Linked DNA regions of Drosophila melanogaster. The protein of the gene in region 1 purifies or fractionates together with the protein of each later gene. This does not show direct contact. Each region holds a gene or a part of one and is shown in the gene's direction. Other genes may lie near its edges.

The links.
Region 2: the proteins of shep (region 1) and bel purify together in Drosophila melanogaster (affinity purification with mass spectrometry, with the first as the bait; one study listed by BioGRID). This does not show direct contact.

Annotation. Positions count from the first base shown.
Region 1 is NT_037436.4:5,268,281-5,283,509, reverse strand, and holds the start of shep (alan shepard), read left to right. Parts: upstream 1-5,565; 5' UTR 5,566-5,896; intron 5,897-7,146; 5' UTR 7,147-7,187; coding exon 7,188-7,355; intron 7,356-10,175; exon of another isoform or gene 10,176-12,170; intron 12,171-15,229.
Region 2 is NT_033777.3:8,654,582-8,672,580, reverse strand, and holds bel (belle), read left to right. Parts: upstream 1-11,819; 5' UTR 11,820-12,573; coding exon 12,574-12,618; intron 12,619-14,193; coding exon 14,194-14,566; intron 14,567-14,737; coding exon 14,738-16,603; intron 16,604-16,674; coding exon 16,675-16,796; 3' UTR 16,797-17,606; downstream 17,607-17,999. Other genes in the region: CG8036 (uncharacterized protein), read right to left, coding at 1-870, 2,653-2,756; CG8032 (uncharacterized protein), read right to left, coding at 5,485-5,667, 5,726-5,846, 5,909-6,683, 6,739-7,144, 7,832-8,098; p (pink), read left to right, coding at 8,855-8,938, 9,021-9,521, 9,600-11,495. UniProt on the Drosophila melanogaster protein: ATP-dependent RNA helicase that is essential and required for cellular function, larval growth, and for male and female fertility.

The DNA of each region.
Region 1 (15,229 bases):
AATGAATTCCCAATCAAATTAGGTCTAATCGAATCAGCCAGTAGGCAATCGCTGGTTCCCAGTCACTGTTCTAGGATAATTTAATTTTAGCCCAAGAAAGAAAATAATATACGAACACCGCCAAGGATAAATTTTCCTTGTTTTTTTGGAAGTGATGTCCTGAAAAGGGTTTTACCAGCCAACAAGGAAAAGGCACTATCCTTTACCGATTGCGAGCGGAAAATGTGAGTCCGAATCTGTTTTCTGTTCGCACAGATGTTTACGCGGTTTAAAGCTCGTTAGCGCCCCCGGAAAATGGAGGGGGGGAGGGGTGTGGTTTTTGGGTTTATGCAGAGGGTTGTGGTTCGCCGGCTGAAACATTTTGCGGGGTCTACAGCCCGGCAATTTGGAGTCATTGCGGCCTCGGACTTGAGAGATAATAGAACTACGACCGCAAATATTGCCTACAAAAGTGGGTTGAAGAAGAAGTAAATGGGTAGATAAAGGGAGGTTTGTTTGCCCAGCATTGTGGCAAAAAGGATTAATACCAAAGCAGATTAGATTGTCAAAATGCGACAGCTTGCCGCCGCTGCGTGGGAAATTTCCTACTCACCACTTTTTTTTCCCATCCAATGGGATTTTGACCAAAACCGAAAACTGTAACAGAGTTATCAACATTTTGACAGCTTCAATTGCGGAAGAACAACAGAATTATGCCAAAAACAATAAGCCGATTTCAGGGCGAACTAGCTAGAATTAAGTACTTAAAAATTGCAGATTTCGCAAACGAAAGTCAGAACTTTAATTTAATGCCATTTATGTACATCAGTAATAAGCTTAGATGGTTTATTTAAGTTGTGAATTAGTTGTTAAATATGAATGAGTTAGAATGATTAGCCCAATGATACGAACAATTATACATCATAACTGAATGCTATAATATATTAAGGCTGTGACCCTTTTTGCTATTATTTAACAGGCAAAATACTTCATCGTAGCTTAATGAAGTTTAAAGTTAGTTTATAAGCCTTTCCCTTTAAGCCAGTTGAGTATCTTTTGGCCCACACATTTTGCAGATCAATCACTCACCCAAAATGCTGTGATTTTTCCCAACTTTGGACAGGAGTCTGGCAGCATCCACTAATGAAGTTGGTCTTCAAGGAGCTAAAAAACAATTTGTATACCAAAAATGGCAACAACGCCTTTAGGAAGTTTTTTTTATTAAGCTATCAATCAGTCTGCAAAAACTTTTAAACAGTAGAAACCTTTAAGAGAAGGACAAACCAGAAAAAAAATCAGATATATTTTTTATAATATACATAATCAATAAAAATTACAACAAATGTTTCCCTCTTATCCGCATAGCCATAAATATTTGTGAGTATTTTTCAAAATTCCTAATCATAATCAACATTTGCAGCTTTAACAACAAAATTATGATCGGCAGATACGATGCCAAAGAACCATTTTCATTTGCCGCCTAATGGATTTTCCGGGGACCGACGAGTGGCTGCAGCACTGGGGCCGGAAAAGTGGGCGTGGTATTCCCCTGACATAGAGTTAAGGAAAGGAAAGGAAAGGAAAGGAAAGCCGCAGATGCCGCCGCAGCATGTGTGTGCGTTTGAGCGCCTTGCCACTTTCAGTTAATTCCCTTCACTTGGTCGTAAACTTTACGCATTCACTGTAATCAAATTTTATGAAATGCTCAGACCCAGTTGTCTTCGTTTTTGGCTCTTTTGTTCAAAGGGGATATTCACTGTGGCCATGTGTGTATGTGGATGGTGCACTTTAATGTTTGTACTATGGTTTTCGGATGGCTGAAGCTCTGTGTTTGCGGCCTTTGAGTGAAAATTTTGCGGCATAGATAATTAAATAATAAATTGTTGTAATGTCTACATTTGCGCCCTTCGACTGTTGCATTTGGCTGAAAGATCATAAATGATTTATATGCACATTGAATGCGTCGACAATAGATTTAATTTAACGATGTCTTGGCGACGATGATGGCGATAATGATGATGCCGGCGACGCCGCCATTTTGGCTTTGCTCCACCATGGCTTTCCCGCTTTTCCGCCTTTTCCCTAGGATTCTCCCCACACACACACACACACACACACACACCCGTCGAGGTAATTACGCGGAAATGGTTGAGCAGGAGGAAGGGAAATGGGCCAGCCAACATCAATATTCTTCCTTCATTCGCATATTAAATCTATGTCATTTTATATAAATTAATTTCACCAATGACATTCAATGTCTGCTCGGTCGAAAATGGATTATGAACGTAATATATTGCAAATATGGGGATGTTCTTTGATGTGTATTTGTGAACATATTAATGTGGTATCGACAACCAAAGCGAAGAACATCGATGGTGGCATTTAATTTGGAAATAAGGATGGGGATTGTTTTCTTGTATAATTATGTGTGTAATAATACCAGTTTGTCGTGGATTTTTAAAGTGAATAACAAGTTGTATAAGTGATAAATCATATTTTATATGATATCCTCGTTTTTTTCCCCACCTCCTGCGTAGGAAAACCTTGAACTGAGATGCTAGCCATTCATGGCCGAGCAATTACCGACTGCAGTTTGATTGAATTTAAATTCTCGAGCTCGCCTTGAGCACTCCTTATCTGAAAGTCAGTCGTGTCCTGTGACAACCTCTGCCTCTGCCTGCGCACATTTCTCTCCTTGGGCGAGTCATAAATTATCCTTAGATCACGCGCCAACAAAAGCGTTTCGTACACTTCACTTGCTCTGGTTCTGTAGTTTTCCCTATTGTTTTTTTCTGTTTTTTTTTGGTCCTTACGCAGTGACCTATACAATGCATTCCATTGGGAAACTAGTGGTTGTAGTTCCTGGCCTGTAGACCCTTAGATTCCATGATTCTATCGTTTTTTTTTTTATTTTTTAACTAGCTTGAATTCCTGGCAGTCACATGCCGACAGAGGCGCAGCGCCAAGATGATGGAAACAGCTGACATTTCACTTTCTTGATGCGATTACGCAGCGAGGAGTGCCCACTGCACCCCATCGCCTCCACTTGCTTTGCCACCCCCTCACTCGCCGCTTTTCCGGCCTTTTCGCCCACACTGCAAATTGCTTACGGTCACGTAGCAGCGTTGCCCCCGCCCCCCTCCCCTATGGCTCGCTTCCCCCGAAAGCCCTTACTTCTCCTTTTTGCTGCTGTTGCGCGACAAGAATTTTTTCGCTTCAAGCGGTGGCCAAGAAACTCTACACTGAGCAAAAATGTGTCTACATTGTATCAATGTGGATCATATATAAAGTATGTGTTTTTTTGTTTTGCAAATAGCCCAAATAAATTAATGTTCTTACTTCATAAAATAAAAAACAATAAAACTGAAAGACGGGTAAGTTAACTTATTAATTTTCTGACATTTAAATTTACTAAACAAAAATATTTTTTAAGCCACATCCTAAAAAATATCAATAATTTTCCTACCAACGCAAGCTGAAAAACTATGTATGAAAGGCAGGCAGGCAGTGTAGGAAAAAATGGGTTTTGGAGTGGGCAACAAAAGGAAAATGGTGCCAAACTTAATGAAAATACCAACGCGTCGTCATTTTGGCCGCAGAGAGGCTGTTGCCACGCCCCCTCCCCCCCTCCACCGATCCGCTGGCAACTTTCCACCCCCCAAGCCCATCCATCTTGCATGCCATTTTCCCGTTCTACCAATATGTTATTTTTCATGCGTTTTAGACGAAAGTGTTTCAGCCCACTGTGCGTGAGATACTGTCTTCTTTTTTTTTACTATCTGCCCCATCTTTCGATTTATTGGCGTTTTTTGATTTCTTGGCCCATTTTTCAGATACAGTAGTTTCTCTATTGTTGTCTAGAAAGATTTCATTTAAAGGTTGTAGTTAATTATTGCAGGGACAAACAATAATATAATAAAGTACAATTTTTTTTCAAAATTTTGGATGTCCAAATTATTAGGTATACATATTTATTTAACTTTCTTTACCAGTTTTCACTGTTTTAAAATTCGTTGATTTCTTGCTTCATTTTTGTTGTATATTGTTTTTCTGCCGCTGCTGCTTTGGAAAATTTGCATATCTCGATAGTGTCAGTAAATTTGCATATTTAAGATAAATTTAAATTCCTTGCATGTTTTGTTGTATTAACATTTTTTTTTTGTTCCATCCAATTTCATTTCGAGTATTGTCCTTTCTGTCTGCTCCTGATGCTGCTTCTTGTTTGTTGGTCCTGGCCCATTCTTCAAATTTTGTCGTTGCTATTGCAAATTTATTGTTTGTAGGCTTATGGGGCGGTGGGAGTGGCAGTACAGGCTGTCTTCATATATGTATTTATACTTGGAGATGTTACAGTCGCGAGTCAAGTAATTAGATATAAAAGCTTAATTGTAAAAAAAAGTTGTTATCTATTGAAATGTATCAAGCTGGATAAAAATAAAATATATATATATATTTAAAATCAAAGTCGCCGTAAAAGTTTAAATGTTTATATTTTTTCGCCCGCTGCTGTCTGAGTGGTTGGGTTTTATGTGGGCAGTGGGCGTGGCAGTGCTTTACAATGCGTGGGAGTCGCTCTCATTTCGATTTTTTCAGTTTTAACCCCCTATCTGCTTATTTTTCGTTGTCGTCATCATGCATCATTTGTTTAGTCCCTTAGTCCTTTGTTATGTGCCAAAAGCTATGGGGCGGTGGGTGGTGGTTGGTGAAAAGCGGGCGGAAGGACGTGTGGTGTGTGTCGCCCTTTTATGCGACGCACTTGTTGAGAATATTAATTTTATTTAAATATTTCAAAATAACACACTAGATGCTGTTGCTGGCTTTACAGTTTTTGGTGCACACGTTTTTATTTTATTTTTTTTTTTATTTTGCGCCATTTGCGTAATGAACTGATATAATGGGATTGGGAAAACTGACAACCATGTGTATCAAATTTGAAAAAGGAAAGTTATATAAACTTAGCACTGAAAATAGGCTTTTAAAATGGTGATTTTAATTGGTTAAATCGGATCTTTATTTTTGATTAGTGACGAAATGTAATGACGAAAACTTTGTATGCAATGCATATTTTCGAATATTTACAATGTTATTTCGATTTTTTAATTAATAATCTTGAATTTTATTCCAGAAAATAAAAAAAATATAATGCATGAAATTAATAAAATTGTTATAAATAATACAGTAGAAACCCGAAAGAGTTTCGTTAAACAGCAAAGCGCAAGCTAATAAGAGGCAATAAGAAGAGAAATTTTCTAAGAGAGTACAATTTGAAGAGAAGAAATATATACAGTAGCGGAAAAAGGAGTATGTACACAGAATATATTTGCTACACGGCCACATATCCAACCCGAAGTTAAAGTTCTTGTGCTATTTTATTAAGACCTTTATTATTATGCTACTCGCCGCTGAAAATTCTTTTTTACACAATGTTTAAACTACATAGAGTAAAAGAAAATATTTAATATTATGAGTCGCACCTAGACTATTTTCCGCTACTGTAGATTGCTGTAAATTAAGCGAGAGAGCGAAGAGAGCATTGCCGGCAGAAAAGGAAGAAGAAGAAGCTCATACCATTGCCGATTGCTGTCGCGTTGCGCTTTCTTCGTTTTTTTCGGCTGCGCAAACTTATATTTTGTCGTTGTAATATTTTGCATAAATATATAAATTAAAACGCGTGACGGAACAACAAACAAATAACGAAGACAGCAAAATAAAAGGGCGAAAAATCGAAACGAAAACGAGTCGAATTACTTTCAAGTGCAAATAGTGTGCGTGGGCGTGAGATTGTGTGTGTGTGTTGTGTTTGTGCGACTGTGAGTGCGTGTGTTTGTGTGCAAAAAAAAAACAGAACGTGCAACAAGAAGCAAGAAGAAGAGCCATCAGCAGCTGACAAACCAGCAATAAAACGAAATTTCAATAAGTAAGCAACATTTAGGCAAAGCTAAAATCCAAAAGCAAATCGAACAAGAGGAAAAACTACCTTTGGAAGCCCCGCAAAGCAGACGTAACAATGGCAAAAGCAACAAATTTGCGGCTCTCAGCTAATTGAAAGCGAATGTTGTTGTTTTAGAGCAATGCACTCGATAAAAAATACATAAAGCAATGGCATAAAAATACAAAAATAAGAACGGCACAGCACAGCAGACGAAAAACAATAATACAACTGGGAAAAACGAAAAAGTCAAATGAGAGAAAGAGAGAGAGAGCAATAATTATTTAAATCTTATCGCAGTGCAAATTTATTTTTCACCTTTTGCTTTGCTCACTTGTTGTTTGCCGGTGCTCTTTCCACCCGCTCTTTGTTCTCTCTCTCTCTACTCTCTTTCTCTTGTGCACTGCGCTCTCCTTCTCTATTTTGCTGTCATTGTCCTTAAATAAGCAATAACAAAAAATAGCAACAACAACAAGTGCAATTGATAAAAAGCAATAGCGTAAAAACAATTGAATAATTTCCTCCGCATATCAATAAATTATTGTGTGTTCCTGTGTGTTTGTGGCTGTCTGGCGGCATATAAATAAATTTGCAAACCAAAAAAAATTGGCTGGCCTGTGCTGTGTGCTATTTTTAATGCCAAAATGCAAATGTTGCAACTGCCGCGCGGGAAAGAGACAGAAACAGTGCTAAAATAACTCGCTGAATGCTCCGTTGCAAGTAAAAAAAACAATTTAAGACGGGTGGTGCTAATAATAATCAACAAAGTTGCTAGTGAAATATTAATAACAAATTATAAGCACGGCAAAATAAGCTGAATATGGCACAGAATGCTAAAAAGAAGCAATAAAAATAGAGAGTGGGAGAGAGAAAGAAGAGTGCAGAGAACAGTGTTGCCGTGCGGCAGTCAGAGCAAACGGGTTGGGCTGTAAAAAAGTGGTAGAAAAATAGACGAAAAGTTTAATTAGCAGAAAAAATACTGACCTCATTTTATACATTAAAATATATAATCTTTGTTTTATTATTTAATAATAATAATGATTTAATTAATTACAAACAAACTGTCATAATTAATTTAGGTTGAGCAGTTGATCTGTATAAAAAATGGGGTCTAGTTAAGACTGTATCTCCAATTAATGCAAATGTTTATATCTGCAACGTCTTAAGATTATAGAATATTTACAATTATGACTCATTCTTTCTAATCTGCATTATCTCATTTACTCCCCTTTTCGCAGTCACAAGTCAATTTAAGAGTGCTATTAAGAAACTAGAAAAAATGCACCCACGATACAGCCCAGCCCCGCCCCCTCAGCAACAGCAACAGATGGGCGGACCGCCACACCAGCAGCAGGGCGGCGGGGGAGGTGGAGGCGTTAGCATGAGGGGGCCATCGAATGCCCAGCAATTGCCGCCGCAGATTCCGAGATCCCAGAACTATTCAAACGTAAGTCAAATACATATTGCATCTTTATAATACAGACAATATTAGAATATCTATTATTTAACTGAAGTGTACAGTTTTACGAAAATGATTTAAGTCTTAAAACGTAGAAAGTCACCATTACCCCTTCGAAACTCGAAAGCAATTCGAAATAGCCTGTTAAAAAAAAAGTGTTGGGCAAACATTTAAGCAATCAGAGATCAACAAAGGCATCAATCAATCAATAGCTTCGTGCATCAATCAAGCAATCAAACGGCTCACTCGGTCGCACTCTCGCCAGTCAGTCATTCAGTCAGTCACACAGTCACTCACTCAATCGCTCATTCAAATCGGACTCAGGCTGATGATTTTTGATTCTGATGCTTCTTTCCACATAGAAGGCGCCATTTTTGCCTTGCGGCCGATAGGGGGCGCCACTGCAATCGACATGTGTCATACGCAGCGTCCTTTAAATCCGGGAAATGCGGGACGAAAATGGGTGAAAAATCACGGGGGAAAAACTGTGGGAATCGAGAAACCAGAGGGAACCGAGTACGCATTTGAGTGGAAAATTGCTCTCGCTGATGCGGCTGCCACGGCCTGGCAATGATATGGATTTCTTCTAACCATTTTCCCCATCAATTTCCTGACAGTTGCAGTGCAGGCAGTCTAATCTCTCGATGAGAGAATCGGGCCAATAGTGCCACATTATCCTTATACCTGAAAAATCATTACTGGCCAGCAAAGAAAGGAGCATTTTAGCTGGATTTCCTTTTTGCTAATTTCAATGGTATTACACGTTTTAAGGGGGTGTAATGTTTTGTGCATTGTGTAATTTCCATCATAATTTATGCATTTGCTTTCTAAGCATCAGCAACGCACAAAAAAAAAATGAAAAAAATGGAAAAAAAAATGTAAAGCATGAAATGGAAATCGCACAAAGGCAACATTTGTAAGTAGTACCCTTCGTCCTTCCTCAACTGACGAAATCCGGTTTACCTGCGTGTTATACGAATGCACAGCAAACGATATGGTAAAATTTGTTAAGGGATCTTTATATACGATCTTATCTATCAATAAAAAGTTAAAATAAAAAACAAATCTAATTAATAAACCATAATATCTACGATATAGTATATTTACTACACCGGTTTTTCCAATTTCTCTTGGTGTATATGTTGTATATATGTTTGCCATATAATAAACTATTCAAAGCTTCTGCGGCATAATACTAAGAGATGGGGGCGGTGTGTGGTACGAATCTGGGGCTGATGTTGCTCGTTTGCTGCGTTTTTAGGTAGCCCAATCCAATCCCCTCACCAGACTCCTTGCAATCCCTCCAGGTGTGCTCGCTTTGTAGGCAACATCTATTTGGCATCCTCTAATGGCCAACAGGCGTTGCTTTGGCTTTTTTTCACGGGAACGTTCTTTCATTTAAACAGCTTTCAACTTACGGCAGCAACAACAACACGCTGGCGGACCACATGAAAATAAAAATTCTGGGAAAAAGAAAAACTTGTTGTTGAGGGTGGTGAAAATACGGCAAAAATTGTAAACATTCGCGCTTAGTCAGCGCCTCAGTCGACGTCAGTTATTGTGGCTGGAATGAAAATTATATTTCGCATTTTGTGTCCTACACAGGAAAATGAAGAAAGGAAAGTAAATAAATAAAAGAGAAAACGGGCAAGTTGCTGAAGTTTATGGAGTTAAGAGAAGATATATATATATATATATATATTTAAAATTACTTTGGACCGCACTTTGTGATGAAAATGGGCGCGTTTTTATGGCTAAAAATTGTATATGTCAAGTTTGGAGAGAGTTTTGGATATTAAATTTTCAAAAAGTTTGAGTGGCCAAACAAAATCATTTCTTTATGACTTTTACTGTAGCTAAAACTGCAAGTGCAAGAGGATGTCAGAATCTAGGAAAACTCCGTTATCGCACTTTCCAGCTTTAGGATTTTTCTTTTTATAATTCTGATTGAAATTCCCATTTTGTTCATTATTTACATATTTTCAGCTCTTTCAAAGTTGAATCTGTGCATTCCCATTTTCCAACTGTCATTTAAACTAATCCGTTTGATAAACTAGAAGCTACAGAAAACGAAATATTTCCCTTCGGCATTCTCCGACTTGTCAGTCTAAGTTCTTATTTCCCACTTCAGTAATTAGGAAATTAAATACTTTCCTGCAGAGTCCAAAAGGAAATATCATTTACACTCTTTTGATTCGTTTTTCCTACCCCAGTTTTGGATTTTACCTGAATAATTTGTTATCCCTGCCCTTCTCATACCCGCGTATAATTTTCTCTTTGGCATTTTCTATTTGAGTTTCGTAGCCGAAAATGTTTCGAGAAAGAACTTTACAGTGTTTGAGTTTGTGCGCTAAAAAGTTTGTGCAACACAAAATATTTATATTTCTTATATAAAAAAAGTTTTGTGAGCTTGGTCACGTAGTAATTTGTGATTAAATTCAATGTTGACAATTGCAAGAGCAGGCCGAAGTTGTTAAGGTAATTGCGACCATATAGGCTGGGATGCATTTCAATTGAGCAAGCTCCTGCTGACCAGACGGCAATGATGGGGATATATGTTACTCCAACTCCGACTGAAATTGCAGTGCTGAATGGCATACGAAACGCCTTTGAGTTCTGCGCCTGCGTCGGCTTGTGGATCCTGTTGCTGGAAAACAATTTTGCCGGCTCCCCAATGCATTTGAGGACACGAAGTCGGGAAAACCGAAGCTGGAAAGCCGAAACGAATCTGCCAGGCTGAGCTGAGGCCTTACTCAAAAACCTTACTCAATGAGAAATTCAGAATCCATTCGACGATTGTCAAGTTCAGTTACAAACGCCTTTTCCTCATTTTGCGCACCACAAAAGCGGAAAGCGACCACAGAGCCCCAAGCACACTGAGATTGCCGGAGACAACCAACAGCCAAGTCTGAAGCCAAAATCGAATCGAAGTCCTAATCGAATATCAAATTCAAGCCCAAAACCAAATCCTACTATTAACAAATAGCCAATAGCGAGGAGTTCACGAAGGAGTCCTGCAAACACATCCTTTCAACACAGTGCAAGCTCGCCATTTTGTGTTTTTTCGAAATAGAAAAAGTTTTTAAAAGCCATACCGCAAGATTCTGCATTAAATATATACATACATATATTTATATTTCCATTTTTCCGTGCGTATACGTAATCTGCGTCGAAGTCAGTTCATTCTGTCCATGATTTACAAATATATTTATACATAATTAGCCACTGAGAGAACCGCGAAGTGTAAAGTGCAAGTGAAGTTCAGTATTATTTACAAGGCGTGAAAATCGAAAAAGTTTACACCAAATATTCTGCTCAAGAACTCACTACTCAAAGTAGTCCAAGGATTCCAGTCTCTCAGCGCAACAATTGTCAGCGAAAATTCCTACGAATCTTAGCCAACTAAGAACTCTAATTAAAGTCAGACGAAAGCACAACTACAAAGGGTTAAAAACTCTGAAAGTAAGAAAGAAATTAACTAAATATTAAAGGAATCTTCGAAGTGAACACCAAAGCAAAGATCTACAGTATTATTTTGAATAAGAAATATATAAAACACACTCTAAGCGATAAATAGAGACAATAAAGTTGAAATAAAAAAAACCAAATTAAATTTGTGACTCTAGCCTAAAAGTAAACACATAAACCCTAGCTTAATTGTGAGTGAAAAAGATTTAGCAAATTGCCATTAAAAAAAAAAAAGAAAACCAAAAATTAGTTGAAAAAGCTTAGCTTGAATAAAACAAATAAAAAAAACGAAAATAATTGTGTCTATCGATGTGTGTGCTTAAGTAACTGCAAATCAAGTAAATAAAATTTCAACTTAAATAAGTGTTCAGTGTTTAGCCAATATAAAATCGCATAGCAAACTAGTCAATGTTCTTCATAATAAGAAATCAATAGGAAAACTTCAAAACAAAGGCCCAGATAGTCGCAAATAATAAGGCGGAAAAAAAAAACCGACGCAAGCCCAGGAAATCAATTTACAATCAAACCTGCTCACCATTAGCCATTAAAATTGCGTCAATCAAGAGAAAAACCTCGCCATTGCCCGCAGCAACATCGAAGCTAGCCAATTTCAGCCAACAGGACCCACAGCAGGAGCAGGAGCAAAAGTCCGGCGAATTTAAGGCAGCAGCTGTCAGCCAATTGGTGGCAACAGTTGTCCAGACAACAACAACATCCGTAGCAGCAGCAGCAGCAGCGGCGGCAGGAGCAGCAACAGTAGCAGCAGCAGCAACAGTAGCAGCAACATCGAAAGGAGCAACATCCGCAGGAGCAACACAGCCAGCCGCTAAATATCCTAAGGCCAGCTCCTTGAGCCAGCAGCAGCAAACACCACCACCACCGCCGCCGCCGCCACCAGCAACAACAACAACAACACCACCACCACCACAGGAAGCCGCAGCGGCAGCAACAACAACAAGTGTTGCCGGGACAACAGGAACAGCAGTCGCAGCAAAGGCTAGCAAAACCACAAGCAGAACAAGCAGCAGCAGCAGCAGCAGCAGCGACAGCAGCAACATAAACAGCAGCAGCAAAAGCGGCAACAGCAGCAGCGGCAGCAGCAGCAGCAGTAACTGCAACAGCAACACCTGCAACAGCAGCAGCAACACCACCAGCACCACCACGACGCTGTACACGTGCTCCAGCACCTCCTCGTCGCTGATTGCCCAGCCGCCGCCAACAAAGATATTTAAGACGGATCACCATCTGTGCGCCGCCTACGGACTGCCGACCGCCACCGCCGCCGCTGCTGTTGGTGGGCATCCCTGCGTCTACTGCGTGATACCTGTGCCCGTGGTGAGTGTCCTTTGCGTGGGTCCGAGGTCCTTCAGAAAAAATCCTGTGTCTGTTAATATGCCATACTCTGGAAATTTAATTTAAATTATACAATTTGGGAATATACCTCTTGATGGAATTGAGTTTGAGTATTTATAAGAAATTTGTTGTTTAGGAGTGGCTTAATATTAATAACTTGAATTCATAACATTTAAACTAAGCTAACATTTAGCTCCAACTTTTTTGTGAGTGTGTCATTAGCATAGGCTCCTTTTGATTTTTTAGAGTCATTAAATATTGAAATAATTACGTTGTGTGGGGCCGCGGACTTGCGCTGGTATCTTCAATGCTCCATGGCCGTCGTCAATTTGCTTATCTTGCCCGATGATTATCCTGTTCCTGGCTGCGTGTCGCGTACCAGTTGGTTTCTCATTACCATTTATTATCCTCCGCTGAGGAGTGGAATTAATTTGTACTAGCAAAAAAAAAAATGCTTATATTTTCAAGTTGAAAAGAATTTTGAGCCGGCTTTGTTTTGGGGTAATCCAGGAATCGCATGAGTGGTTCACGCTGAAGAAGTTTTGAAAGGGAAATGAGTTTTTTGCTGAAGGGAATTTGTTTAACTTTTTATGACACCACAAAAAAAAAATCACATTATATTTAAATATTTTCTTAAAAGTTAGTCCATGTATAATGTATAGATTGTTGAGATTTTACCGACATAAATTACACAACTAGAAATTATACAGCTACCGCTTAAATAGAGACACTAACGGAAGACCTTATCTTGGGGAAAATAGCAAAAGTCTGAGTTGGGTAACCACCAACCCCTGGAAACCACCATAACCACCCACCAGCGAAACCACAGAGCCACTTCAAGACCCCCTTTTCCGCCCGCTGCCATTAGCAGCGTCAGCTGTTTGTCCACTTAAAGAATGCCCAGATAATCGAGGCAACAAATGTGCCTAATGTCAATGACAATAAAGACAAATTATACAAATATTTGACTAACTGACTTTGCTCACTCACTGACTGCCTGCCTAACTGACTGACTGACTGACTGACGAACTGGAATGATAATGACACCCATTGTTCGTGTGTAGAACAAGGAAAATTTCATTAAAAATCCCCACAAGCAAATGGACAAACCATTGGCCTCAAGAGGGTAGCAAAGTGGAAAACTGCCTTGGCCAGCACATTTTCAATAATTACAACGAAAATCAAGCCCAATGACCGCAAATAAATCTGAAATAATAATGATTATTAGCCTGTGTGTTTGTTTGGTCAGATGGATGTATGGGGCTTTTCCGAGGGCTGTTCGAGCATTCATAAAGCCACAAAAATGTTTTCAATTACAAATAACCATGGAGAGAGTGAAGAAAGTCCAAAGGAAAGCAACGATAAGTTCAGCAGCGGGAAAAAATGCAACTGAAAAATCTTTCCATATTATTCATTCATTTTCATTGTTGTTTGAAGGGGCGAGGTCTCTCCTCATTGTCCATTGCCAAGAGTGAAAAATGTTTTTCTCTTATTATTTCTATTTATTTTTTTATTTATTTTTTTGTTGAGTCTTCATTCTTTAGCTCCCTCTTGGGTTTTGCCATTTTTTCCTTGTACTTTTAGGGCTCAGGCGAACGAGATTTATGTAAGGCACTGTCTGAGCTCAGTGCCTTTTCTTTCTTTTCTGCTCATTTTGTTGATTCCTAATTAATTTTACTCGAAGTGAAAATGAATTGGCAAAATGCCCGGCAGACACAAAACTAAGTACAAGAAGAAAAAAAAAAAAGAAGGAAACCAAAGGGAAAATCCTTCAGTTAAAATATGTGATTTTCTTAAACATTTTGTAACTGCAATTTCTGTTTTCCTTGTGCTCCTTTCAATGTAATTGCTTGTAGAATGCTTAACATTCTCAGGTAATTTACTAAATCTTCATTGCATCTTTGTATAAAATATTTAACAAAATACAATTCAGTTTTGTATTGTATAATTTACAAAATCTTCAGTGCATCTTTGTATAAAATCTTTAACAAAATACAATTCAGTTTTGTATTATGCAAATTCAAATTGTTGTATCGGCATGTAAAGTTAGCATTTATGGATCACTTTCAAGCAACTTATACGATCTTAATGGCTAGCACCGCAATAATACCTTAATTTTTTCTGCTGCCGTGCTAAGTGGGCAGATGGCCACGCCCACCGCGCGAAAATTCACTCATGAGCTGCGTGTTGCTTTGACTGTTGCTGCTACTTTCAAGGACCTTTGAGTGGTGGCGTTTCACATGGCGTATGCGTGACATCGCCACATAGAAGGCGCGCCTATGAATATGCATTATTATTTTCTATATGCGACGGAGTCCAGTGAAGTGCAGCTAATTAGCAACTGACATACATTTGCAACTAACCCAAATTGTTGGCTGCTGACGAGGTTAAGTGTGCTGTTCTGCTTTAACTTCTGGAATTTTAAATTCCATCCTCTGGCAAATCGTGTGGAAAATCTTTTTTGGGTGAAAAATATTCCGTACTCTTGCATACCAAATGAGATGAGTTTTTGTTTGGTCCTTGGTCCTTTTCGTAATTGTTATTGATGTGGAAATATGTGCGATTAGCCGAGCTTATTCTCTGTCTCTCTCGATCTGCTCCACCCCTTGCTGGGGGGGGGGGGTCAAAAACTTTTCGGCCCCCAAAAAACTAAAAAGTGAAAATTTTATGGCCGAGGAAAAAAAGGGCAGAAAGCGACGCCATATTGGATAACATAAAATGGCGTTTATGATGGGCAAAGTTTCATCATTTGCAATTTGCTTTTGACCCTCCGCCGCTTGCCACCAAAGTGTTTGTTTGAGTTTTCCAGCAAATTTAACATAAACCATTTTCGTTTGAGTTTTTTTTTTTTTTGGCCTTTTGGTTATCTGAATCCGTATTACAAATTTTTTTGTGCTTGCTGCAAACAGTATTCATAAATGATTTTTACCCACAAACTTAATGTGCTCCATATATTTTATATTTGCAGTTCGCTTCAAATTTTTAACTGATTCAATGTTCTCTGCTCACAGTTTGCCCAGTTTAATGCCACTGACTGAGCA
Region 2 (17,999 bases), on another chromosome or scaffold:
TAGGCCAAACGGGTGGCAATGGAATCACCCAGCTTGTAGGCGGGTGGCGAGCTCAACTTAATGTTGTTGATGTCCACGTCGGGAGCAGCACCAGTCTTGGGCACCGGCTTAGGGGTCAGCTTGACGTTCTTGTTGACAATCAGTCCCTCCAGATGCTTCACCACTTCGGCGGCCTTGTCGCCCAGTGGCTTGCCGTGCCAGTTGTCCAAATCCTCGATGTTGGGGAAGTCCCTGCCCTTGAACGTCTTTGCAATGATGGCGGTGGGCTTGTTCTTGGTGATTGCAGCACAATGGAAAGCCTTGCTCAATTCCTCGACATCATGACCATCGACAACGACGGCATTAAAGCCGAAGGCCTCCAGACGATCACGGTAAACATCCAGCTTATGCTGCAGGGAGGTGGCCTCCGACTGGCCCAAGCGGTTCACATCAAAGATCACGCAAAGGTTGTCCAGTTTATAGTGGCCGGCAAAGTGCAGCGACTCCCAGATGGAACCCTCGGCGGACTCACCATCACCCACCACCACGTAGGTGCGGTAGTCGGCCTTGTCGAAGTTCTTGCCCACATAGGCCATGCCAGCGCCGACGGCGACACCCTGTCCCAGGGATCCAGTGCCCACATCGATGAAGTTCAGACGAGGCGTCGGGTGACCCTCCAGATCGCTGTCGATCTTGCGCAGGTTGTTCAGATCCGCGATGGGGAAGAGACCAGCCTCAGCCCAGGCGGCATACAGAATGGGAGCAGCGTGTCCTTTGGACAGGATGAAGCGATCGCTGGAGGGATCGCGTGGGTGCTTCAGGTTCAGGCGCAGCTGCTGGAAGAACAGCACGGACATGATCTCAGCGATCGAGGCACATGATGTGGGATGGCTATAAAGAGGGAAAAGTAGGCAAAATATTAGATTGTGACAAGGCATTTCGTTTGCATGTAGTTCTAGGTTAAGGTAAGTGCCTAATGAATTATAGAAGTCGACCTCACGGTGGGTAAGTGAAGGCCGATCAACAAAGGAAAAGTGGAACTGAACACTGTGCATACTTGTTAAAAACGTTGTTTAATAAAAGAAATCCATTTGTCTATTGAAGCTTTTATTTAAACCCCCCCCCCCCCCTCTGTTCATATTTCAAATGAAGATTTCTCGAGTATCCAATTGCAATGTACATATAAATAAGATAAGATCCATTCTTGGAATTCAATGTTCCCATGCGATCGTGTTCCAAAAAAAATTGCTTTGAATCGCAGATCTGGCACAACTCCAACCGCAAAGAAAACACGCAACCCCAGACAAAATGGGGGGCTCGTCTTACCCCAGACATATAAATAAACTATAACGAGTACATGCATATGTATTTATTGGCGTTATATGGTGTGATATGTGTGTTTGTCGCGACGTGAGTCCATCGCAATTCCTCACCGGTTTCTGGGACCTTGAACTTTTCTGATCACCAAAAAACCTAAATAATAGCCTTAAAAACCAAATTCTTGGCTTCCACGATTGTGTTGCATGGCGATCTTTGTGAACGCACGTGCTTCTAGATAGTTCCGAAGTGCGTCCCCGTTTCCTGCAGCCATATCAAGAACTATTGAAGGTGATACGGAGTGTTAGCAGTGACCCGGCGCGCTTTTTTTTTTTTTATCAGTTTTCAGTGATTTTCGATTATCATGCGGGGAACACACTTGAGCTGGTCACCTCTAATCGGTCATATCGTGGTCAATGAGTAACCAAACCGGGCTTATCTCGTCGGCAGAGGTCACATTTAGAGCAAACAGAGCAGATCTTATCTTGAACCGTCACAAAAAAAAAAAAAAACGAAACAGAATGGAAAAACTAATGGAGGCGATAAAAGTGTTTTCCTTATCAGCATAGTAACTTTTTTATTTACTGTTGCAGTAATAATTTGATCGCGTCTATCCGAGATATAATTACATTAAAAGCCATACAGTCGTAAATCTCAAGTGTAGGGGATCATTCCATTACTATTCTCATCCCTCTCTTTCCAATTCCACTCCCGTCACAAGCTGTGCTTTCCAACACTTGTATGTACATATGTACATACGTATATTAAATGCCTCTGTTTGATATGTAAGTATGTTTGTTTTTACCCCATGTACATATGTATGTGCTTTCGGCGTTTTGAACGCCACGCACAAAACAAAAGCAAAAGAAATTAAAAGGCAGTAAGAAAAACCTAACGTTTCAAGGTTGTCTAAGGTCAAAAAATATTAGCTCACAATTTAAGGTAGGTGAACGCGGCTTATCACTGAGCACGCAGGCAGGGCAACAAATTCGCAAATTCACTAAAGCTACTGGACAACACGTGGGTTGGCAACTGAATCCCAGGAGGGGTCACTAAAGGAACCGGTCTTCCCATATTTTACTTCTCACATTCATACAAACATAGATGCATAACTATGTATATGCGTAACTATTTTTGTTTTATTTTCTTTTGTAATGTTTCAAAACACATACATATGTATGTATGTATTTAGCAGCCCCCTCAAAAACTTTTTCGCACCCACCCTGGAAATGGAGGGGGTCACCTTTGAAGCAACAAGTGCAAGGTGCACAACTTTTAAAATTCACATCTACACAAACAAATCTAAATACGCACACTTTAATATGCCTATGGACTTTCAGTTATTGATAAACTTACCCCGATTTGGAGGCCTGGGTGGCGTTGATAGAGTGAATTCGCAGTTTCTGGGCCAGATCTTTCAGATCCTGGACGGTCTTAGCTTCGGGCTTGTGGTACGACATCTTTGAAATGCGAATGTAAATTGGATCCGAACAAATGCGGTTTTTGATATGTTGCACAACAAAACTCGGGAGTTTCGGATTCGTTAGCCAAAGGGTGACTCCTCTATGTTTGCAATAGACAGACAAGAGTATCGACGTGGTGGATAAGTAGCTCGAGTCGGAGTTATCAACGGACCACTGCTGCCGGCTTCTGGGAACGAACTGCTCTCGTCGCCGGCACTTCGGTCGCTTTTACGCTGTGGGGGCTCAATCTTGGGAGCGGACTCGCAAAGTATCGGTATCGTCTATCGTCGGCGCTGGAACGAGATGGATATATGTATAAATATGGCATCTTTGCTCGCACACCACCCCTTTATCGGTGCACAGCTGTGGGTGGGTAACTAGTTAGTTTCAAATAGTGCATTGCTGCCTTTCTAAATTCATGCACAATTTTGGTCTAAAATTAAGCCATGAACAGTTGTACCTGAATATTTTCTCATTAAGATTTACAATGCTTTAGTATTTAATATAAGTTTACAAGAATTTAAGGTCCTATTTTTCTGGCCGCGAGTATTAAAGAGCAGCGGTGTTTAAGAGAAGTGCCCTCTCTTTTTGTCACTTTCCCCACCTCGCTCCTGAACAAAAGGTGAATTAGCCGCAAGCGAATTTAACCTTCGATAGCTCAGTTGGTAGAGCGGTGGACTGTAGTTGGAAAAACATGCAATAGAAATCCATAGGTCGCTGGTTCAAATCCGGCTCGAAGGATCGAAAAGATATAAATACCTTTTTTTTATATATTTTGTAGTGCACATACCTTTTTTTTTATATATTTTGTAGTGCACAATTTAAATCAATTTAATTCATCTACAGACATTCAGAATATAACTGAGCTGTTTAAACTAAATAATATAAGAAGGATTTTATTTGGAAGAAATAAACCGTAACTAAATTGATATAGTTTGTGAAAAGCGCCTAGGCTATTAGGCTTGGAAACTATAGGCTTACTGCAATGGACTGAATAGAGAAAGTTGATCAATTTTGTTTGACCTAAATAAGTAAAAATCAAAAATAAATAACCAAATACGGTGCATTTCGTTTGTGCGCATGCATAAAACGAACAACGGCCAAGTTTGAACTCAACCTTCGATAGCTCAGTTGGTAGAGCGGTGGACTGTAGTTGGAAAATTATGCAATAGAAATCCATAGGTCGCTGGTTCAAATCCGGCTCGAAGGATTTTTTGTAATTTTTTGTAATATCCAATTCGTTTTTGTTTTTATAGTAGCACCCGTACCCCATAAAAAATATATAAAATAGTATGCAATTATAAACATGTAGATGCAAAAGACATTTTATAAACACAATGTTATATAAAATGAATAATAATTTGAAGAATATCAATTTTAAAAACACGTGAAAATGAACATGTCTTACTTTACGCGTACATCAATATATTATTTAATTTTAGCTTAGCAACAATCAAAAGAAAAGGTATTTGAACGACATGGCATATGCTGTCCGTGACCTCAATCCATTAAAAGCTAAAATACGCATTAATTAAACCGATTACCAACAAAAGTTTATTGAAGAGTCGCGATGAATCGGATACCCGTTGTTTAACCTACTCCCCAGCACGCCCCCTTCGATAGCTCAGTTGGTAGAGCGGTGGACTGTAGTTGGAAAACATGCAATAGAAATCCATAGGTCGCTGGTTCAAATCCGGCTCGAAGGATTTTTTGTCGAATTTTTTACAAGCCATTTTTAATGCATTCTTGAATTCAGCTTAGTCAATCCTTTTCATTTCCACCTACCTTATCCTTATTAGCTTTTTTACCACACCTTAGCTAAGTTCGAGTAAATGTATCCACAAAAAATTTACGAGTGCAATGCGAAAGACTTTCAAATAATTTAGGATATCTACATATGTTTTGAATTATAGACTTTTGTTGGCCTAAAACCAAAAGCACAACTTGATTTTTATAATACAGATCTCTCCCCATCGTTAAAAAATCAAAACTTTCTTCGACTTGTGTTTTACTATTTAAAATTATACATTTTCATTCAATAATTTATTTATTTAATTTATTTATTTATGCGTACAAGTCGATATTTTTGTCACAAATACAAATAAATATGCAGATCCAAGTGTTAGAACGGACTTATGAATACCAACTTTTCCTTTTCCGCCTTAAAGAGTCAACCAATGCATAATTTAGTTAGCAAAATAGTTAACGTTAACAATAGTTACTTTCAAATATACATTAGTTGCACTCATTGTTCGATCGTCTTAGTGTCAACCTTTTGGTGCAACCTTTTCTACGTTAAATACGAATTTATAAAAATAGGCAATATATTTGTATTCATACACTTATGGTTGCTAATCGGTAATTAGGTCTAAACAACATTATGTCTTTGTGCACACTTTTTCGTCCAAGTACAGTGAAAGCTGCTGCGGGTGCACGGTCTGTTCGAGTTGGCAGCACATTGATCAGCTCAGCTAATTCGTAACTTTTATTTATAGTAATGTACAAGCGGGTTCCAAATAAATTACAAAATAATTGCATCAACAAAATAAAACAAATGCTCACAAGGGATGTACAAAAATGAGTTAAATCGTTTTACGACGCTAGCAAAATAAATTACAATCGAACAAATTAAATATCACTAGCTAAAAAGCGTTTAAAGAGTGTACAAAATAACGTTAATAAATTATAATACAAAATCGATGAGTGGTCGTTGATTAGCTTAGACTCAGTCCAGGGCAATGCCCTGTATCCAGGCGCTCAGATCACTGCCGTCCGACTCCATGATGATTTCGTCTGGCTCATCGCTCGCCAGCAAATGCTGCGCTGCCGTCCGTCCGCTCAAATAGGCGCCGTGTACGGTAGAGTAGAAACTGGAATGGGTGTGCTCTCCGGCAAAGACTATGGCGGGCTGGGGAAATATATTAAAATGTGAACAATTGCCGGGGAAGCAAGCTTGTAGAACTGACCTTCATGGCTTGGGGCGTGGCATAGAGGGGCTGGGCGAGGTTCTCGATGTCCTCCTGAGTTGCGCCCACCGGTATTGAGGTGTATGCGCCACCGGTGAAGTCCTGCGACTTCCAACTGGTACTACAAATAGATTTTTCTTTAATATACAACATTCTTAACCAAATAATGTTTCTTTGCCTTACCAAACACATCGCTTTGGCTTGGGCACGTAAGGATCCTGCAGAAAGTTCCTAAGTATTTCCGTACACTTTTCAGCCACTGCCTCATGGTCGAGCTTCTCCATGTACTCCGCCTCCCGGCCCGAGACCCAGCCCAAGAGCAGCGTGTCCGTCACCTTGGCAAACGAATATATCTTCTTGAACCAATTCTTGCTGAGATACGCTTCGCTGGCCAGCTCCTCCTCGGAGCTGTTCATATCCCGCTTATCGTCGTCCCACAATAGCATAATCTCTGATATATCGGCACTGAGGAATGGTCGCTCGTACTCCAAGAAGATCTTGTCCACGGTGCCGAACATGAGATTCTCGATGGACTCCTGTTTGTACTGCGGCAGCACAGGATCGAAGAGAGTGCGATGGGTGTTTTTCAGTACGCCTAGCGGTATGGTGCATATCACATGGGCTGCATGGAACACTCGACCGTCCTCGCAATCTATGCGCACGTTGCCTGCAGGATAATCACAATTGCTGCTGGTGTTGGACTCCACGGAGGCGCCACGAATTTCCCCCGTCGGCACTTCCGTCACCGTTCGTTCAGAGTCGTCTGAATGCTCGTCCTCCGAGTTCTCGTCGACTGTCTCCAGCCCAGTGAAGGTCTTTTTCCGCTTCCAGTGGATTTTCTTCACCGGGCATTTGGTCAGTATGGACTGCTTGGCTATCTGAGCACCCAGCGGTCGCAGAATAGAGCTATAACCAGTTGGCAACACTATATTGCCTCCTTGTAGCTCAGTGTAGCTGCCTAAAATAAAATATATATTCATATTGTATATACTTTATTTTTAGCTTAGCCTTACCAAGTTCGAGGAGATCCACCTCGTCCATGTTGTTGCAGCCGGTAATGCAGGTCTCTCGCTTGAGCAGGCAGTTAAATATGGATTGCTTGAGGCGTTTTTCCTTGGGATCCTGGACCCCGCTCAGATAGATTTCGATCTCATAGTTAATGTGCTCTCCCACGCTGTGTATATCCGGCGGCGGGCTGTACTGACACAGGAAATACTCATCGCACCGCCTCAGAAAGCAGACGTACGCCTCGTAGATCTCCTGAAGTATGTTAAAAGGCACCTGGTGCCCGTCCTCCGTGGTGGCCACCACCTTGTGCGGTTTCGGTACGTTGACCACGCTGACTAGACCATGTTGTACGGCCAGCTCAAAGATGGGATTGCCCAGAACGCCGTGTATCCAGTTGGCGCCAAGTTCTATCTGTGAAATAGAAGTGTTTAAATAGGAACATCTCAGATAAGTAGGCAAAGCTTAACATTTAACTTTCTAGTATAAAAAAGATAAGAACTGACCTATATTAGATAATTTAGGGGCGTAATTAGTACATGTGAAGTGAAACAATGTGGAAAACTGGAAAAATAATAAATTTTTCAGTCCCATAACTAAGACTACGTGATCGTTAGCCCGCAAACCCGTGAGTTTTTCAGGGCATTGCACTAGATACGTCATCATTGGCTTAATTCAGAAAACCCCTATCTAATCTGACAAACGTTGCCGAAGAAAGTTGTATAACAAATTTCTTGATAAGGTGCCGCCAAACCGATCAAAACTATGCTAATGAACGGAATGAAAATCGTGAGTAAGATTCACGACAGATGCAATTACATTAATTACCCCCATGTAAGCATATGTAACAAATAAAGCTAACAATAGGCAAATAGAGGGAACAGGAACATGTATAAAAATAGCTTTAATGAAAAGCGTGAACAGCTGACCGACTGCGCAGTCCGTGGAAAAATCTATAATCAACTGGCTGGGGCGAAGAATGTGTTACAACATGCTCGTGGTTTTTCCGAGTCGGAAGTGTTTTTCCTTTAATACCATATGGTCGCCTATGATGGTTTGTTTTGGTTTTTGGACTTGAGGGGGTTATATAACAAATGGTACCTTCTGATTATTGCTGAGCGGTATGGACACAATGCGTCCGCCCACCCGGCCCCGTGCCTCCAGAATAAGGAAATCGTCACAGCCGTTTTGCAAAAGGTGATTTGCAGCCGATAGGCCAGCCATTCCAGCTCCAATGATCACGATCTTAACGTTGGTATTATTCCCTGAAGTTTGCGGCTGATCCCCGGCTCCAGCAGACCCAATATTGGCCATACCCTCCTCCGTGGGCGAGGGAGCGGGTGTTACGGGCTCCTCCTTGTCGCCCATTGCTACACTTTGGCTTCTATGTACATAAGCGTTTTAATTGCGGATACCCGGTGTTTATTTGTTATTTTTCTAGTATCTTTCACGCCGCATTTCAATTTTTCTGCAGGTTTTTTCGCTTGGCGAGTCGCGCGACTGTTTTGACGTTTACTTGACAGTAGGTTTATGGGTTGGGGGAGGTAGCAGCGAACAGCTGTTCGGCTGGGTGGTAAATATCCAATTTTTTTTAGTAAACATTGTGTAATAATAGTTTTATTTTTATGTATGGGAGTTTGATAAGCGATTTTTTCAGAAAAACGTATTTTAATTGAAAGTTTGAAGGATAAGTTTTACGACAGCTGCTGGTCGCAGTATTGCCAGACTTGAAGCTTATAAGGGTAAACAAGCCAGCTGTCATTTTACAGCACTAAATGTATCGATACTTTAACGTCTGTGATTTCATGAAACTTTTGATTTTAATATACATTTCAAATTGAAGATTTGAATTGTTTTAATTAAGACACTAACAAGTTTATTACAAAGTATTTGAAATAAAAAGTAATCGCTCTAATCACACTCCACTTGTTATCGACCACCTGCCAGCACTAACAGAGCTGCCAGACAGTTCCAACGACCTATGTACACGAATTACTCGTCGCGCTGATAAAAACATAATTTTTGTAAATAAATGCATGCGATGTGCAATGCAATAACGTAATCGCGATTTCAAAGCGAGCTATGTGATTAACGAACGCTTCGGACAACGAAAAAGCCCACAAGATGGCCGACGCCTACTGCCTGACGAACTTTATTGATTTTTCGCTGTCGCTGTCGCTGCCGCTGAAACACCACAATCGCATCAAGGTGAGAGCAAGTCAATCCAATTGAGTCTCACCCGCAATTTGATAGCAGACCATTCACTAATGCACGCCCTTCCTCCCTTCAGTACACCTGCTTCGACATCTCCGACAGCTATATCATTTTCGGTGCCTCATCCGGATCGCTGTATCTGTTCAATCGGAACGGCAAGTTTCTGCTCTTGATACCAAACAAGCATGGAGCGATCACCAGCCTCAGCATATCGGCAAATAGCAAATATGTGGCTTTTGCAACGCAACGTTCGCTCATCTGTGTTTATGCCGTGAATTTGTCCGCGCAGGCCACGCCGCAGGTGATCTTTACGCACCTGGACCAGTCGGTGCAGGTTACATGCATCCACTGGACGCAGGACGAGAAGCAGTTCTACTATGGCGACTCTCGCGGACAAGTCAGCCTCGTGCTGCTCTCCTCGTTCATCGGACACAGTCTGCTGTTCAACATGACAGTGCATCCGCTGCTCTACCTGGACTCTCCGATCGTCCAAATTGATGATTTTGAGTACCTGCTGCTGGTGTCCAATTGCACCAAGTGCATTCTGTGCAACACTGAGTACGAGGATTACAAACAAGTGCGTTTGTGCGCTGGTGGCTAAGCCAATCTGATCACATACAATCGATAAACTTTTACCTCATGTCATATTTTTCAGATTGGTAACCGTCCGCGGGATGGAGCCTTTGGCGCCTGCTTTTTCGTCTCGCCGCAGGAGTCTTTGCAGCCATCTCGTATCTACTGCGCCCGACCAGGCAGTCGCGTGTGGGAGGTGGACTTTGAGGGCGAGGTGATACAGACGCACCAGTTCAAGACGGCCCTAGCCACCGCACCGGCAAGGATTCAGCGACCTGGTAGCGGAACAGACGAACTGGACGCCAATGCCGAGCTGCTGGACTATCAGCCGCAGAATCTGCAGTTCGCAAAGGTACAAAGGTTGAACGATGACTTTCTGCTGGCCTTTACAGAGCTGGGACTATATATATTTGATATTCGACGATCGGCGGTGGTGCTGTGGTCCAATCAGTTCGAGAGAATCGCCGACTGCCGCTCCTCGGGATCGGAGATCTTTGTGTTTACGCAGTCTGGCGCACTTTATAGTGTCCAGCTGCAGACGCTGCAATCCCACGCAGTTTCTCTTATACAACAATCCAAATTGCTGCCTTGCGCAAATCTACTACGCCAGCATGTCCGATATTTTGCGGACAAGGCTCGCGAGGATTACGAACTTAAACAGCTCAATCCGCTGAAACAACTACTCATCGAGCGGCAGGAGTACGAGCTGTTGAACGATATATCCGTGATATTTGATGCCATAACTCAGTGCACAGGCAGTGCTTTGGATACGCACAGCTCGGGAGGCAGTTCAGCCACCACTGAACGCAGTTTGAGCGGCGGAAGTTCATCGAGAGCTCCGCCGAAGGGAGTGTACGTGCTGGAAAACGCATTCTGCGACAACTTGAAGCAGCCTCTCAAAACGGGACACTTCAAGGATGCGCTGCTGACGGTAACTGGTAAATTCGGCAAGAACATCATAAAATACAAGTTCAATATTTTTGCCGAGGAACAGCAGCAGTTGGTCAGGGAACTAATTCCAGCCAGCGAGCGTTCTCTGCCGTTCAAGGACATCAAAGCACGCTACGAGTCGGGAAGCGAGGATCAGGAGGAGGAAATTGTTAGGCGCTGTAAGAAACCGGCTCCCCAGGTTCCCCACATCAGTCCCGAGGAGAAGACTCTTTACAACCTCTACCTGATCGCCAAGAGCGCCAAGTTTAGCCGGACGCAGTGCGTCGATCGTTATCGCGCTGTCTTCGACGAGTATGCAGCTGGCGAGCTGGTGAATCTGCTCGAGAAACTAGCCCAGGTGATGGTAGAGCATGGGGATACGCCTGACCAAGCGCAACGCAATTGCTACGAGATGTATTTCGATTACCTGGATCCGGAGATGATCTGGGAAGTGGACGACGCTACGCGGGATCACATAGCTGCCGGATTTGTGCTGCTAAATACTTCGCAAAATGCGGAGATTGTCAAGTGTGAGCATTGCTCGTTCCCCCTTCGCTTCGATACCTCCTGCCAGTATCATGAGCTTGGAGCAGTGCTCCTGCGATACTTCTGGTCCCGTGGCGAGCAACTGAAGTGCTTTGATGTTGTTCAATCAGTGCCGGCACTATTAGACGTCTTAGCTAAATTTTACCTAGCCGAACAGAATCTCACCAAAGTGGTGGCCATCGTCCTCAACTACGGACTCCCCGAACTTCTGGCTGACGTGGGCAAACAACTGAGCGTGAGCGCATGGGGCCGCTGCTTCGAACAGTTCGTGGAACTGCAACGCGGCGGACGACTGGTGTGCGCCAACTGCGAGTGCATATCTGGCGTGGAACAGGAACAGTTGGGACGCCACTTCTTCTACAACTGGAACTGTTTCCTCAACATCGCTCTGGATCACATGTCCGCCGGGGACACGCTGGCGCTGATCTTCAAGTGGAGCTCATACATTCCAAACGACGCTATCGACCGGGAGTTCTACTCCCGCTGCCTGCTCAAGGGCTGAACGATATGAAAATTATTATTATATACATATATACGATACTTTATAGCCATATTTATTGTTCCACTAACTAATCTCAAGCTAAGGCCAATACCAAAAGCATTTATTCTATATAAACATGTACATTCACAATATGTATATTCTGAAGACGAAAGTGAATGAATATATTCCAGAGTTCGAAACTTCGAATTTTAGTTTTCTTTAACAGACTTGGAGGGAACTTGAGTATGGAATTGTTTGGAAATTTTTAATACCTATTTTACGGCAATCACATATATATACTAAATTTCAAATTTAATTTGAATTTCTTTGACTTTTGCTTCAAATAACGAAATGGGGTACAGCGGCTGACGCCTTATAAACAACTATTCCTAAACATAAACACAAACATTTTTGGCCTTTAAGAAACAAAATTTAACTGCCCAGCCTCATTTCTCTTCCATTCAAAAAACAACAACAGCCTAGAAGGGATCGACGCGCCGAAAAAGCAAAAGTGAAAAAATTCAATTTGAATTTCATAGACCGCGAGACGAGGATATAGATCTGGCAACGCCCTTGCCGGAGTCTTTGCCAGTAACCGCCGCCGAGAGCCCAGGTTGGAGTCTCTGCTCTACCTCCACCGACCGCATCTATCGATTCCTCATCGATATACGTGCTAAAGCAGCCCTGATTTTTTAGACACGCGTCTGAAAGCGGAAAAAAACGTGAACTCGTCGGAGAAGCAGCATTTTCCAAGCCCATAGCGCTTGTAATTGTAATTGTTGGCACAAGCAGGCCAGCCAAATCCGATACGGAAACGTCTCAGTTTCAAGCCGAACAAAGGGAATTGTGTGCGAGGAACGAAAAGAACCCTGAAATTTCACACGAGAACGCAGTAGCTTGTGGAACGTAAGAAGTTTTTTGTCGGAAAAACTAAGGAAAAACGTATAGACACAAAGTGCAACACCAACACAACGATCGTATACATTTTTTTGTCGCAAATTGCAAGTGTGCATTCAAAAAAAAAAATTCAAAGCGTAACCATTGCAAAATTTTCCTAAACGGAAAGCAAGAAAAAAAAAGCAACTGATTGGAGGATAATATGAGTAATGCTATTAACCAAAATGGCACAGGTCTAGAGCAGCAAGTAAGTAGCGTTTTTAACTGCTGAAAATACCATTTACCATCTATATAAGAATGGAACACGCATGTGTATGCGGTGGCTGTGTGTGTGTGTTCGTGATGCTCATGCGGCTATTTGAAAAAGTTCGCCTAGAAATTTATTGATTTCATAACACACTAATGTCTCTATCGCTCGTTTTACAACGGTGAATTGTGTCGGTGTCAATGGCTTGCATATATGTGCGTGTGTGTGTGCGCCTGGGTCCCTCTTCGTCATTCCAATTTGTAATTTCTTTTGTATAATTTTTGCTCGCTTGCCTCCAATTTGACATGTATAATATATACATATGAAAGTTTCCATTCGGCCTCTCACGTTGAGTGTGTCGTGTGTGCGAGCAGTGCCGCTGTTCTAAGGCTGGTCGTGTGTGTGTGTTATATCTCGCTCTCTCTCGCTTGCTCACACATGTGGAAGCTGTTGTAAATAGGGTTGCCAGGAGTAAGCGATCTGGTGATTAATTTCAAGGGTGATTTGGCAAAAAAAAATGGAAGAAAAGCAAAGCATGTAATCTACATACACTATTTTAACAAGCCTTTGTTAGGTCCTTAAAAAGAATTAAACTTTATTAGAGATGTGAAATAAACAAACGTTAATGCTTTCAAATGGAAATAGTTTAGTTAAATACTACTATTTCTGTATGCCTCAAATGCACGCAATGAATCTAGCAACGATCTAGCCGTTAAGTGACGCCCCACAAAATCTGCGAATTACATATTTAGCTGCCTTTGTTAATTAATATAAATGAAGAAGGCAAAATATTGAATATTACAAGATATACGGGAATAATAATCATTGTATACATTTAAACTAGTTCTTGAAAGAGTTCCCTTGCTTTCATCACCATTCTGTCCACTTGGGTCCCGCAACCGGGCTTTGTGTTTTGCCCCTACGGTGCGATTTGTTTTCCCATGTGTGGGTGGCTCGTTCACGTGTTGTTTTTGTTGGGTTACCAGGCGGACTCTCTTTGTGTAATAGCTTGCCTGCGAGTGCGAGAGAGACGCTTACAGGGAGAGCACTAAATTCGAAGCTTTAAACTAGTTGCGCCTCTCTCTATCTGTGTATTCCGGAGATTTGCACGTACATACATATGTATCTATGTATATATACACGTTGCGTTGCTAAGAGGAAGAGCGGTAAATAGCACATGTTGCTAAGCGGGAACGAATTCATTTTGGCAGTTCTGGAGAAAATTTCCCCGGCGAATCTTTTGCCAAACTGTTGAACTTGATTCTTGAACTGGTGCCGGCTAACTTACAGGCAACATATGTTAATTGGCCATGTGTACTATAAATCAATTGTATTAGTGGAGCAAAGATTATTTGTGTAGCTTAGTTTTGCATTGCTGGTATAGATCTTATCATTAAATGCACTGTGTTCCCGTAAACTTGGTATATAACAAAGAAAAGTAATCTTAAACCAATGATTAAGTACAAAAAAAATAGAACAAAACCTATAATTTAAGTGTTAGGAAACCACATTTGATGCCACATTTTTTGCACAAGTTCTGAAGAAGACTAACCATTTAATCTTTATCACTTGCAGGTTGCTGGTCTGGACTTGAATGGCGGCTCTGCTGACTACAGCGGCCCCATAACCAGCAAGACTTCCACTAACTCGGTCACCGGTGGTGTGTATGTGCCCCCGCACCTTCGTGGTGGTGGTGGCAATAACAACGCAGCGGACGCAGAGAGCCAGGGCCAAGGACAGGGCCAGGGTCAGGGCTTCGACTCCAGATCCGGGAATCCGCGCCAGGAGACTAGGGACCCTCAACAGTCGCGCGGAGGCGGAGGCGAATACCGCAGAGGCGGCGGCGGTGGTGGTCGCGGCTTCAATCGCCAGAGCGGCGACTACGGTTACGGAAGCGGCGGCGGAGGACGACGTGGAGGCGGTGGACGTTTCGAGGACAACTACAACGGTGGGTACTATTGGCTAACAGGTGGTCTATTCACTATCAAGAAGCACAAGGACATTTAATTAATTTTTACAGCTCCATAATGTAATGATCCTTAAAATCGTAATGCGTACGACTTATACTTGGTCCTCTAATATGCCCATATTATTAGAGAAAATGTAATTACTTTTGCAGGTGGTGAATTCGATTCGCGTCGCGGCGGTGACTGGAATCGCAGCGGCGGAGGCGGCGGAGGAGGTCGAGGATTTGGACGCGGACCATCGTACCGCGGCGGTGGCGGCGGAAGCGGTAGCAACCTCAACGAGCAGACTGCCGAGGATGGCCAGGCACAGCAGCAGCAGCAGCCGCGCAACGATCGTTGGCAGGAGCCAGAACGTCCTGCCGGATTCGATGGCAGCGAGGGCGGACAGTCTGCCGGCGGCAACAGAAGCTACAACAATCGCGGCGAGCGCGGAGGCGGCGGTTACAACAGCCGCTGGAAGGAGGGCGGCGGCTCAAACGTCGACTACACAAAGCTGGGCGCCCGAGATGAGCGCCTGGAGGTGGAGCTGTTCGGCGTGGGCAATACGGGAATCAATTTTGACAAATACGAGGATATACCCGTGGAGGCGACGGGCCAGAATGTGCCCCCGAACATCACATCGTTCGATGATGTGCAGCTGACGGAGATTATCCGCAACAACGTGGCCTTAGCACGTTATGACAAACCGACACCGGTGCAGAAGCACGCCATTCCGATCATTATCAATGGCCGGGATCTAATGGCCTGCGCCCAGACTGGATCCGGCAAGACGGCCGCCTTCCTGGTGCCGATTCTCAACCAGATGTACGAGCTGGGACATGTGCCCCCGCCGCAAAGCACCCGGCAGTACAGCCGGCGCAAGCAGTATCCGTTGGGTCTGGTGCTGGCGCCGACCCGCGAACTGGCCACCCAGATCTTTGAGGAGGCCAAGAAGTTCGCCTATCGCTCCCGGATGCGCCCGGCAGTGCTGTACGGCGGAAACAATACTAGCGAGCAGATGCGCGAGCTGGACCGCGGTTGCCATCTGATTGTGGCCACACCCGGTCGCCTAGAGGACATGATCACACGCGGAAAGGTGGGACTGGAGAACATTCGATTCCTTGTACTGGATGAGGCTGATCGTATGTTGGACATGGGTTTCGAGCCGCAGATCCGTCGCATCGTCGAACAGCTAAACATGCCGCCAACCGGACAGCGCCAGACGCTTATGTTCTCGGCCACATTCCCCAAGCAGATCCAGGAGTTAGCCAGCGATTTCCTCAGCAACTACATTTTCTTGGCCGTTGGTCGTGTGGGCTCCACATCTGAGAACATTACGCAGACAATCCTGTGGGTCTATGAACCCGACAAGCGCTCGTATCTGCTGGATCTGCTCTCGTCTATCCGCGATGGCCCCGAATACACCAAAGACAGCCTAACACTGATCTTTGTGGAGACTAAGAAGGGTGCAGACTCGCTGGAGGAGTTCCTGTACCAGTGCAATCATCCCGTCACTAGCATCCACGGTGATCGCACGCAGAAGGAGCGCGAGGAGGCACTGCGCTGCTTCCGATCGGGCGACTGCCCCATCCTGGTGGCCACAGCCGTGGCCGCTCGTGGCCTGGACATTCCGCACGTTAAGCACGTTATTAACTTTGACCTGCCCTCGGATGTGGAGGAGTATGTCCACCGTATCGGGCGTACCGGACGTATGGGTAATCTTGGTGTGGCCACCTCCTTTTTCAACGAAAAGAACCGCAACATTTGCTCCGATCTCTTGGAGCTGCTGATCGAAACGAAGCAGGAGATCCCCAGTTTCATGGAGGATATGAGTTCGGATCGCGGACATGGCGGAGCCAAGCGGGCTGGACGAGGCGGTGGTGGACGTTATGGTGGCGGCTTCGGCTCCAGGGATTACCGTCAAAGCTCTGGCGGCGGCGGTGGCGGACGCAGTGGACCGCCACCACGTAGCGGTGGTTCCGGATCAGGAGGCGGCGGCGGCAGTTACCGCAGCAATGGAAACTCGTACGGTAAGTTTGGTGAGTGTGGAATCATCCATCAGCAGTAATCAGTTTAAAGGCAGAAACTTAACAGTGGATTTCCTTTACAGGCGGCAATTCGGGCGGCGGTGGATACTATGGCGGCGGCGCCGGTGGTGGCTCCTATGGCGGCTCCTACGGCGGCGGCAGTGCCTCGCACTCTTCGAACGCACCCGACTGGTGGGCTCAATGAGCAAGGCCTCAGCTTCAGGCAAAGGACCTGGGCCAGCAGCAGCAGCAGCATCAGCAGTCGCATCGTAGCCACTTTCGCAAATAACCAAACGGAGTAAAACAAAGTCGATAACAACTATATATGTGTACACACGTATACTATATAGGAACAGCAAATGTGAAAGAGAAACTGTCTGTGCGCAGCGCAACACAAATCACGAAAATACAGAAAAGATACACAGATGCACCCTCCACCCCACCCTCGTTTAGCAATTCACTCCTCTCTCACAACCTCAAAAACCAGGAGCAAGCGTTAATAATAAACTGTGCAAGTCCATCGCGAAAGTATATTACATTCATGTATAGCCAGCCCAAGCCGCCCTCCATTTCCATCTCACCCATCATTATATTTTATGAATTCGATGCGCGTAGTTGAAGGATATGCAAGCAAACACATACATATTTAAAATATGCTAAACAACCACAAATATTAAGAATATTTAAGCAAATGATAAAATTTTTGAATTTTTGTCCATAAGTTACAATTCTCACACATCATTTTTCTTGGAACTCTTAATATACATATATATATATATATATATATGTATTCTTATATATATATATATATATATCTAGACATAAATATTGTCAATGTCGGATCGAAACGATGAAAGCGCAAATCCTTGAACTTCAATTGATGATTTTAAACGAAGAAAACATAAAAATAGTAATGGTATATATATTATTAAATATATAGATCGAGATAGAATGTACTATATGAAACAAGAAACCAACACAAACAAGTAATTAAAACAAAAAAAAAACAAGTTTGCTAAACTAAAGCTTAATAATTTAGCAAATGAGAAAAAGAACTCGCATGGTTGTTTTTAATTTTTTCTGCATTTGGTGTAACAGGTGATTTTTTTGGGATTGGCAGATCGTGTCCGATAACGCTGTAAAGCACCAACGTTTACTAATTCCTTGGCGCCCTATTATCTTTTCATAAATATGTTCAATTAAGATTTATTTACTTACTGATATCACTTTTTGAGTTAGCTCCATTGATAAGAATTGGCAAGTTGCCTGTTCTTTGGTTTTAGTTCAGTACGCTTTTCGAACCAATACGTTTCGATGTAAGAGATCATTGGATTTTCAACCGCGACGAGCTGCTGGCCATATTATCAAAATAATTAAGGAGTGGAATATCCATAGGATAGGTTAGTAA